2 linked regions of the Drosophila melanogaster genome follow. The protein of the gene in region 2 purifies or fractionates together with the protein of the main gene of each other region. This does not show direct contact. Each region holds a gene or a part of one and is shown on either strand. Other genes may lie near its edges.

Region 1 (3,997 bases), 2.1 Mb from region 2:
GCCTGCTCCTTGTCGAAAGCGATCCCAATCATGCAGGAAGCGAGATCCGCACACAGCACTATCTTTCCGTACTCGTTGATCTGCAGAGGGACATTCGTGGAGCGCAGTTCCAGGAGGCGTACTAGTTCGGTGGTTTTCCTGAAAGGATTCGATCTTACTGGGTAAACCTTTAAAACTATTTATTTATCGCTTACTCTAGCACGTTTGGCTCCTCCCTTAGGCCCATTTTCGTAATTAACTGTTCTATTAAGGTAGTCATTGTAGTTATTAACAATAGACTGAAATTCCAGTCGTGCGTCGTTAAAACCAAAATAAAGTACAACAAATGGCGCGAAATGCATCAGCTGTGAGCGATAAGGTTTTTCTTTGTAGCAATCGAGGTTTAATAGCTGCAGGCACATTCAAAAGGAACCAGATCCGATAACCAGCGAGCCAATATATTTATATCGAACGATAACTATTAAAGAATGAGAGTATAAAAATATAAAAACCTTAAATTTCACCCGATTTTGTTTATTCATTTTGCGCTTTAGGGAAATATAAAATTAACATTATGTATGAGGCCCAGAATTAGATTCACTGGCACACAAACGAACTAGTGCGTCTCATTGTCGCTGTCTTCGTCCTTGTTGGCCGCATCGCCGGCTTTCCTCGCCTTCTCCGTCAGTTCTGAGGGATTTATGAGATGTAGGCCACCGGTTACCCTGCCCACCAAACCCATTTCGAAGCGGAAGTCCTTGTCCTTCAACTCGTCATGGACTTTGTAGATGCTAAGACATAGGATAGATATGTTAATTATGAATAAAAACCTAGATTCTAAGTGCAATAGATGTCCCAAAAATGCTTCCTATTGTCAGAGCAAGTAAGTTTCCACTCGGAACTAGGATAAAGCCCGCCCGATTTTTGAAACAGTCCCTTTTTTTTGCTGTAAACGTACATTTCACCAGCGCTCTCCACCAATTCGTCGGTCCTCATATCCATCTTGAGCTTCTCCATCTCAGTCTTGGCCAGCTGCTTGGCCTTGCCGCTGGCGCAGGCGAAGTAACCGAAGGAGGAGCCGGACGGCTCGATCTTGTAGAGCTGTGGCCCCTCTACTTCGTCCCAGGAGGCGAGAATGATGGAAAGTCCGAAGGGGCGGACGGCACTGTACAGAGTGTAGGCGTGAACGTAGCCGGCGACTCGGTGGCACAGGTGTTTAAGCGGGATAGCCTGCTCAAATTGCTGTCTGTAGTTGGCTGCCTCCTGACGCGCAATGTCAGCCACAAAGTTTCCATCGGCCACCAAGCCGGCCACCGCCATTCCGATGTTCTTTTCGATGGTGAAGATGCGTCCGCCGGCGTCTGGTTCGTACAGTTTACTGGTGATGATCTTCTCCACGGCCAGCACCACGGCGTCCTTGCCCCGAATCCCGATTACGGTGCCGCTCTTCTCCACCGCCTTTGAGGCGTAGTCGATCTGGAAAACGCGGCCATCAGGCGAAAACTGCGAGGCCGACAAGTCGTACTGGAAGCGAGAGGGTGACGTTAGGGATCTGCAGATATGTAGTTCGCTGACCACTTACTCCAGTGCCAATAGTACTCATAGCGAAGACTTTGTGAAAATTTAAACAATTCAAACGCAAAAATTAGTTTAATTCCTTGGGTCGAATGCGACGATGATTTGACGGCTTTTACTTGGCTAGTGGTGGACAAAACAAAGGGGCCTATCGGTCAAGGAGGTTCGATAGTTTCGGAACGACTATCGTCAATAAAAACCAATCGTATACCAATCGCGATTTTTTCAGATAAAATTCGAATGATTAAAAATAAATCACCAATTCATGGTACTTTATTTATTTAGCACAGTTGAAGTTAATATCATTCTTTTCTTTTCTACTTATACATTTCGAATATCCCCTTACATGCTCTGTAAAGTAACATTTCGAACTAGTTCCGTTCATGTTCTGATCCGCGGCGCACGCGGTTTTTGTATTTATAAACAACGAAAATCATGCTGGCGGGTATCAGCGAGAAAAGGTAACATAAACTTAATAATTACCTGATGATTGCAAGACTACAACAATTTTAAAATCCAGCTATGCGGCGGAGGCCCGCTACACGAACTTCTACGCCGGCGGCGACATCGCCTGGAGCCCGAATGGCCATCATCTTTACTGCCTCAATGGCTCAGCTGTAAACCAGGTGGATGTGCAGACCTCCCAAATCCTAAATAGCTACGGCTTGTCTTCCCCGTCGGCGGATAACAAGAGGCCGGCGGAGCTGGACAATATCGATGTGGAGGAGGATACGATTACTTGCTTCGGGCTGTCACAGGAGCATCTGGTTACTGCCCATCGAAGTGGCCTGCTTAGGCTGTGGCAGCTGGACACTGGGAAGCTGGTGAAGCTGTGGAAGGCGCAGCACAAGGGACCAGTCATCCGAGTTGAGTTTAGTCCCTGCGGCAGGCTTATCTGCACCAGCGGCGGTGCAGATGCCACACTGAGGCTGTGGGACTACTCGAACAACAGCTGTCTGGGTGCCCTCAAGGATTTCCCTGGTCCCGCTTGGCTCCTCGTCTTTCATCCCAATGTGCTGCGCAAAGAGATCTACGCCGGAGGTTCGGATAACACTGTCTATGCCTGGAACTACGAGACGAAGACACTTGTGCACAAGATGCGAGGTCACCTGTCGCAAGTCACCGGCTTGAGCTTTAAGAGCAACGCGTCCGACTGCAATGAAATCGTGACTGTAAGCCGGGACAAGGTTATGATCGTGTGGCAATTGCAGGAGCAGTTGGAAAGCAAGCAGTTGAAGGTTCTTCCCTTGTACGATGAGCTTGAGGGAGTCGTGTACGCAGACGAGGGACAACTGATAATCGTGGCGAGCGGATCGGGCAAGCTGCAACAGGTCGACCCTAAATCTTGGAAGATCAGGGATATTCTTTCTCAATCTGATTTCCAAATTAGTAGACTGCTGCACTGCAGCGAGCTAAAACAGCTGGCCCTGGTCACTACAGAGCAGAATATTTTGGTCTACGACGTTGAAACCCTGGAACCCATTAAACACTTGGTGGGTTACAACGACGAGATCCTAGACATGTGCTTTATGGGCGAACACGATCGCTACCTGGCCGTTGCCACCAACAGCAAGCACTTCAAGCTGTACGACACGGAACACGACATGAATTGCAAGCTGATCGTGGGTCACTCGGATACGGTAATGTCCCTTGCTGCATCCCAAAATCTGCTGATTTCGGTGGGAAAGGACTGCAGCGTTCGGCTTTGGAGGCTTCAGCACGACAAAGATTGCTCGCTTGAGGCTCTGACTCAACAGGCCAACTGCCACACGTCCACTATCGGTTGCGTGGCCATGACGCACAACGGAGCTACTGGCTTTGCATCCGTGAGCCAAGATGGCAGCATGAAGGTATGGCAGCTCGTCAGAAGTAAGGAGGATCGCAACTCGTACTCTTTCAACCTGCGCTACGCAGCGCTTTCCCACGACAAGGAGGTGAACTGCGTTGCATATGCTCCGAATAACAAGCTTATTGCTACCGCGTCGCAAGACAAGACGGCTAAGGTGTGGCTGGCGGAGTCCAACACGCTGCAAGGAGTGTTGCGGGGACACACCCGCGGTGTGTGGAGTGTGCGCTTCTCTCCGGTGGATCAGATCGTGCTCACCTCATCGTCGGACTGTACTCTCCGCATCTGGTCCATCAGCAATTTTTCGTGCATAAAACGTTTCGATCAGGAGTGCACCATACTGAGAGCCGAGTTCCTGGATCACGGCAAGTTCATTATCTCCGCTGCTTCGGATGGCCTTCTTAAGCTGTGGAATATCAAGACCAACACATGTCTGCAGTCCCTGGACGAGCACAACGATAGGGTTTGGGCGCTGGCCGTATCCGCCAGGAGCAATCGGTTCTTTTACACCGGCGGCGCGGACTCCAAGCTGATTCGCTTCGGTGATGTCACTCAGGTGACGCGAAACGAAGCGCTGGACAAGCGGCAGGCCGCATT
Region 2 (6,473 bases):
TTGGAGCGGATGATGGGTGGCTGTACATACATATATGCTATATTATACCCACAAACGCATCTCGGTTACCTCCTTGCCCGGTGAACAGAACCACTAAACTGTACGATACTTTTACTAACATAGCACCTTGGACTCCTCTAGCCTGGACAGTCACGAAACGCAAATGTACATACACCAAGTGGGAGTGGGTTACTGATTTTAGAGGTAGTCCAAAGTTCAAACGAGTGGGTTGTAATCTGTGGAATAATACACTTACATTACATTATATCCCAAAAAAGAGATAATGCAATTAAACAGATAATACCTTCACCAGATTACAACCAAGTACCCGCTTGGGTCTACCAATAGAATCCACCCACCCCAGCACACATAATTATCCCGACAATTGTACACGCACCCGATTTTTAACCACGGATTTCTGTGCTTCTTGTAGATTCGGAGCTTGTTGAATCACCCTACAATCACATCTACGGACGCCATTTACCGCTGCCAACGCGCGGCTACGTGCCCACGCCACGCATGTTCATCGGGGAATGGGACTGAGCGTAGTTCACACCGCACCTGGGCGGGATTTTAGCCGGATTTTGAGCGGCCAAGGCACAAAACACACCACAACACTTGCACATCCCGGCGTGAGAGGGAACGACGCCTACCGTGCAGAGCTAATTTAAGTCAACCGGCTGCACACAGCTTGAAATATTATTTACATTATATTAATTTAGCAAAATATTATGGTAAAATAATATTAGGCTAGGCATAAGCAGCAACAAAAAAAACAAGAGTAATCGCAAACCATTGTAACATTTAGTGCCGTGATTTTTCGCGCTTTTCCCCTAGCAATTTTGAGATTACGCACTTGAGCCAATTTTGTTTACCCTGTTGTACGAAATGAATGAATAGCCATTACATCACGAGTTCAGTTAAGCTTTTAAGTATATTGTAAATTTCTCTTGAGCAGCCGTCAACTCAACTGGCCTGTTTGCGTATTTACTTGATAAATGTTCTTAACTACGAATTTTTCTAGTAAAAACTCAAACAAGCGTTGTCTAACAGGCTGCTGTTTTTTATTTTATATCTGTAAAATTCTGTAATATTCTGTATTGTGTATGCAACGTAATAAAAATAATCTTTTAAAACAATCCGTTTAATTTTGGTCTTCTAAAATGAAAACTTTTTTCATTGCTTTAAACTAAAGATTTGAATTGCTCACTATACATGGCATTCCTGGTAATTACATGTAGTAATCGGGATTCCAATCTGGTGGGCGCATATGATCTGGATTGATTCCACCCTGTCCCGGCCTATTCGGGTTCAGGGGATTGAACGGGTCGAAGCGGGGCACGGGTCCCGGGCCCATATTTGGGCGTGATGGAAAGCTGAACAGGTTACCATGACCACCGCGACCCAGTGGATCGAGATCCCCGCGTCCAACGTCCGGAAATCCAAAAGGGCGAGGCTCGAATGCACTTGGAATGAAGGATCTAAACGAGGGGAAACGATTAACGAGTGTATAAAAAACTATCCACAAGTGTTCTTACCCGCCACGCCTTGGCTCGCCGATGCGCAAGGGATCTGGATCCGATCCAATGGGGCGTGGTGAGTTGGTCGTCTGCGTGGTAACTTCGCGCGAGTTTCCCGTGAATACAGGGTCTAGAAGCTCCCTACGGTAGCGTTCAACAATCTCTGAGGCACTCGGCATTATGGTGGTGATGCCTCCCTTGACCTCAGGTACCAGGGTCTCTGGTTCTACGCAGATGTTGGATACCTTCTTAGTGTTGATGTCCAACAGGTTGATCAGCAGGGAGCCCTCGGTGATGTGGCCCAGCAGCAAATACAGCATCTTATCGTGCACGTAGCGCAGCGAGTACTTGGTATCGTCATCATTCCAGCTGTCCGGCAGCAGCTCACTGCCCTCCTCCTCCGGCAAGGTTTTCTATGGAATTCCAGATGATTTCACTAATATGCGTGGCCATAATCATACTCACATCATCGCCAACGCCAACGCATCGGAAGTTGTAATGCTTGGTCAAAAGAAAATGGACGAGGGCAATCAAAAGGTCTGACTTCTTGGAGACATCAGCCTTAACGGTCTTGTACAGCAGATCCCAACCGTAAAAGAAATCGCCCGTCTTGGCAGTCGACCCACTTTCCATTGCGGCCACCGATAATCCTTTACAAAATCTGGGTGGGAGTAAACAGAACGAATGGAACGTTCTAATTTATGCTTAGTATATATAAATATGTTTACATTTCGTTTGCTTGGAGCGACGTCAGTTTCAATATCTGAAGCCCACTACAGAAAGTATAAATACTGAATAAATTTCCAAGACAACCTTTGCTTTAAAAGTTTTGTAAACAAAATAATGAGGAAAGAGCGAGAAGTTGTTTTTAGCAAGTTACCACCACATTCTCAATTTTTATTTTAAATCTTTTGGACGTACCTTAGCTCAATGTTTTTTAAAAGGATCTATATTGTTTAAATAATAATAAATTATAAATGACTTTGTTAATATTGCTGCATCTTTGTGAAAATAGAACTAGTGCTGGGATAATCGATATTATCGAGGTATCGGATATTTACTTTTCTGAGCCACTATCGATGGTTTTTTGTCGCTATCGATAGTGCTGTTCATTTTTGTTAAATCAACTGATGGTAAGACCGCGAAATATTCACAATGTGGAAAAGTTTTAATGTGTGACTCCAAGCTACGACTCGAGTTCTCGTCGGATAGCAGAACTCGGCGAGTTATCATGAAGTATGTACATAGCCACTGATATGCGCACATTTTCAGTAGTGGAGGACAATGGATTTCGCGATATACTGAAAGCATTTGATACGCGATATAAGCTTCCATCTCGTAGGACATTGAAAAATTTTGTAATGCTTTTTAATCCGAAGTACTCAGAGGAAAATACAGATCCTCTAGAATATTGGAAGGTAACTATACCTATTTGAGAAAAACATTTAAAATTGCTAATATTTTTATTATTTTAAAGTTATATCGAAAATTTGCTCTCCAAACATCGAAAATATCGAATGGCGCAACTATCGATAGTTTCCCATCACTATTTATTAAAACTGGAAAAAATTTATTGCCTTTTTCAATTTTCTAATATCTCAATGTGATTTATCGATATAGTTATCGATACAGATTTCATATATTAAATCTTTTAATATACAAAATTTTGTGAGAGTAGAACAAACATTAATAAAAATATATAAATAAATAATAAAAACATTAACTTAATACTAGCAACATAATTGTCAAGGTATTTCAAAGGATTCAGAATTTGCTTCGGGCTAGTTATAAATTTGCTTATATCGTAAATACCAGACATAAAAGATTTATTAAATTTCTAATGTGATCCATATGTTCATATTTTAAATATTTTGAAGAAGTCAAGAAAAGTAAACAGTAATTGTAACATAGAAACGATGAGCGACTATCAATTGACTTTGTAATAAAGAAATTCTTATATATAAATGTCTATTTATATATTTATATATTTAAAATAGTAATAGGAAATGCTTAGTACAACATCTACATGTTCATAATACGAAACCTTACGACTTACTAATATGTGTACAATTATAAAATTCCCTATTTCTGACTGATTATTTTGATCAACTATTCATTAAGATTTCCTCGTTCAAGTTATTCGAGTTACTTTAAGTTATTTTTACTGATATTTTGACATTGTGGAATTTATGTTTCCAAAATCTTACTTGATTTATTTTTAAAAGTTGTCTGAAGATCAGTTGTTGCGTTCTGAAAACTTGTTTTAATGATTTTATGTGAAGTCATGATTTACTAATTCTGTTAACTCGATATGTTTATACGGTCTCACATATATCGATTGCCTGGAACCAGTTCGCCAAATGCTTTAGATATCTCAAATATTTCTTATGCGGGAGAAATTAAAACGTTAAAAATATAAAGCAATTTGGAATATTGATTTGTTTAAAAAATTCTTGTTTTTCGTAAATAACACATATATGCTGTCTCTTTCTTAACGCGTTCGGATTCTTATGGACGGACGATGAGTGTAAAAGAGATGACTAGTAAGTTTAGGGTTGCCAAGGCTTGCAAAGACTAACGAATACGAAAACATTCTTTAAAATATAAAATATATTTATCAGCCTTTAAAACGATAGAAATGATTAAAAAAAATTTACAATAAATGTTGTGATATTAGAGTGATATTATAGCTAATTTAATGATCCTCTGATGCCAAAAAAAAAGAAATATTCTTTTTGATCAAAATTTTAGCCATGTTTTCCTAAGAAAATTTTAGAGTATCGGTCCGAACTTGTTATATAGACTTCGTAGAGCCTACTTCGGCTGGAACCCGAAGGGGCAGCCATATTGAATTTGATGCGGAATATTCAGCTGTCTTTCTCGGGTGAAAAAATCTGACACATTTTCGAGGAGACTTGCTGCGAAGCATTCAGTACAGGATCTCCCAATAATATTTTTTCCCGGTTTGCCCAACTAATAAATAATTGTAAACACGCGTCCCTTGCAGCCCTGTTGTTATTGTGTTGCCAAACATAAAAGTGATAAGCGCGCCGCTTTTTTCTGCGGCGGCAGCAGAAAATCGTGAATTTTTCGCGTTTTAGAACAAAAATTGGTGCGGATCGCAGTGCTCTAGTCCAAGAGGCCCGGATACGGAACAGAAGTCATGAGTAACAGTGCTCCGGGTAGCGAAAGTGGCCTGGCAAAGGTAGCGACGCCGTCGCCATCGCCACTGGCCAAATTGGATGCGGATTTCACGAGTGAGTACTGGGCATCAGCCAAGTGGAAAATTGCATATAAATTGCATATACCCGCAACGCAGGCTCCAAGTTCGAGATGCACCCCTCGCTTTCAGACGAGGAGCGCCGCTTCTACCTGAAGATGTACCCCAACGTAGATCTGGTGAACCAGCGAAAGGTGCACTGCACCGTGTGCAAGCTTCACCTGGGCACAGCACCCGCCGCCGAGAGCAACATCAAGATGCATCCCATACTGCGGGTGACGCACTGCGTCAAGTGCCACGATTTTTACAACAGCGGCGAGTTCTCCAAGGGCGAGGATGGCTCTGAGCTGTACTGCCGCTGGTGCGGACAGGGCGGCGAGGTATACTGCTGCTCCACTTGCCCCTACGTCTTCTGCAAGTCGTGCATCGTGAAGAACCTCTCCAAGGGCGTCATCGTGGACATCGAGCAAAACGAGAACTGGAACTGCTTCAGCTGCACCTCCAAGATCCTGTGGCCACTACGAGCCCAACACTGGGCGCTGGTCAACTATCTTCAGACGCAGAAAAGGTGCGGTTTTTAGTCCTACTTGTCTATGCTTATGGCATCTTTAAGTCTTTTCATTCATTCACTTATCATAGTGATTAATCTCTTTCTAAATTGACTTTTCTTATTTAATGTAATGCAGGGCCCTACAAACCCTTCAGCTTCCCGAGGTGGAGGCCCGACGTCAAATGCTTAAGGATAACAGCAATTGCTGTCGCTTGGCGAAGTCGAAAACCAGCAGCTTATCCGACTCGATGGAAAGCTTGGAGTCCAATGTCTCCAAACGCAGCCAGGGCAGCTCAGCGGGCTCGAGTAAACGGGGATCCATGCCAAAAACCATTCCTCCGGGACCACCATCCAAGCGCGCTAAAGCTTCCAACAACGAAGTGGTCTGCACACCGGATCTGCTCAGCATGCTGGAGCCGGATTGCCAGCTCTCTGTGACGCCCAAGCCTACTGGACGTCAGACGGTGACAGCGGCAAATATCACCACTCCGAGGATTGTCACCGTCCAACAGAACTACCAACCGGGACAAAGTTCCAGCAACAGCGGCAGCAACGGAAGCGTAAGTGGTTCTTCATCAGTGCCACCGACACGTAGTAGCCTGCCACCTCCCTTGGTTCTCAGTGGATCTGGAATCCGCTACCGCCAGAATGCCCCTGGTGGGGTCTCTGGTGTGGTACGTCGTACTGTGGTTCCCAACTCTGTAAAAACCACTGGGCCAGTCTTTCACACAATCAATGGGTTCAAAGTAGATTTAAATAGCGCTGCACAACAGGATTCCTATCGCCTGCCCAATGGTAGACTAATTCAGGTAAAACGTCAGGTACCACAGACAATTCAGCCGGCATCAACAGTACCAACACCACCAACACCGCCTGCTTTGGTCGTTCCTCAAGTGGGTCCGGGTGTGGTTATCCGACCTCGAGCTCCAATTACGACTAATAGACCTTCACTGCATATCAGCACGTACGGTTCTAACATGGGTATCTATAACCCGCAGACGAACCAACAGCAGCGGGCTCCGCAAGTGCGAGTTGGAAACGCCAATCCAGCGCCTCCACCGCTGCAAGGACTTCCGCCCAATGCCAATGGCGGTCAAACTCTCATGATTACTCCAGCACCACAACCAGCGCCTAAGGTTCCAACTTTGGTGCGTCTCACCTTCCCCAACACGCCGATGGGTCA

What was found.
Region 1: the proteins of PI31 (region 2) and Prosalpha7 purify together in Drosophila melanogaster (affinity purification with western blotting; 2 studies listed by BioGRID, with this or other methods). This does not show direct contact.

Annotation. Positions count from the first base shown.
Region 1 is NT_033778.4:9,846,136-9,850,132, forward strand, and holds Prosalpha7 (proteasome alpha7 subunit), read right to left. Parts: upstream 1,702-3,997; 5' UTR 1,583-1,701; coding exon 1,562-1,582; intron 1,504-1,561; coding exon 938-1,503; intron 771-937; coding exon 596-770; 3' UTR 501-595; downstream 1-500. Other genes in the region: Orc6 (origin recognition complex subunit 6), read right to left, coding at 1-138, 195-259; CG1671 (uncharacterized protein), read left to right, coding at 1,990-2,015, 2,075-3,997. UniProt on the Drosophila melanogaster protein: The proteasome is a multicatalytic proteinase complex which is characterized by its ability to cleave peptides with Arg, Phe, Tyr, Leu, and Glu adjacent to the leaving group at neutral or slightly basic pH.
Region 2 is NT_033778.4:11,966,299-11,972,771, forward strand, and holds PI31 (proteasome inhibitor 31 kDa), read right to left. Parts: upstream 3,818-6,473; 5' UTR 3,728-3,817; intron 2,553-3,727; exon of another isoform or gene 2,442-2,552; intron 2,357-2,441; exon of another isoform or gene 2,182-2,356; 5' UTR 2,154-2,181; coding exon 1,986-2,153; intron 1,934-1,985; coding exon 1,539-1,933; intron 1,482-1,538; coding exon 1,232-1,481; 3' UTR 1,045-1,231; downstream 1-1,044. Other genes in the region: ADD1 (ADD domain-containing protein 1), read left to right, coding at 4,684-4,777, 4,840-5,308, 5,427-6,473.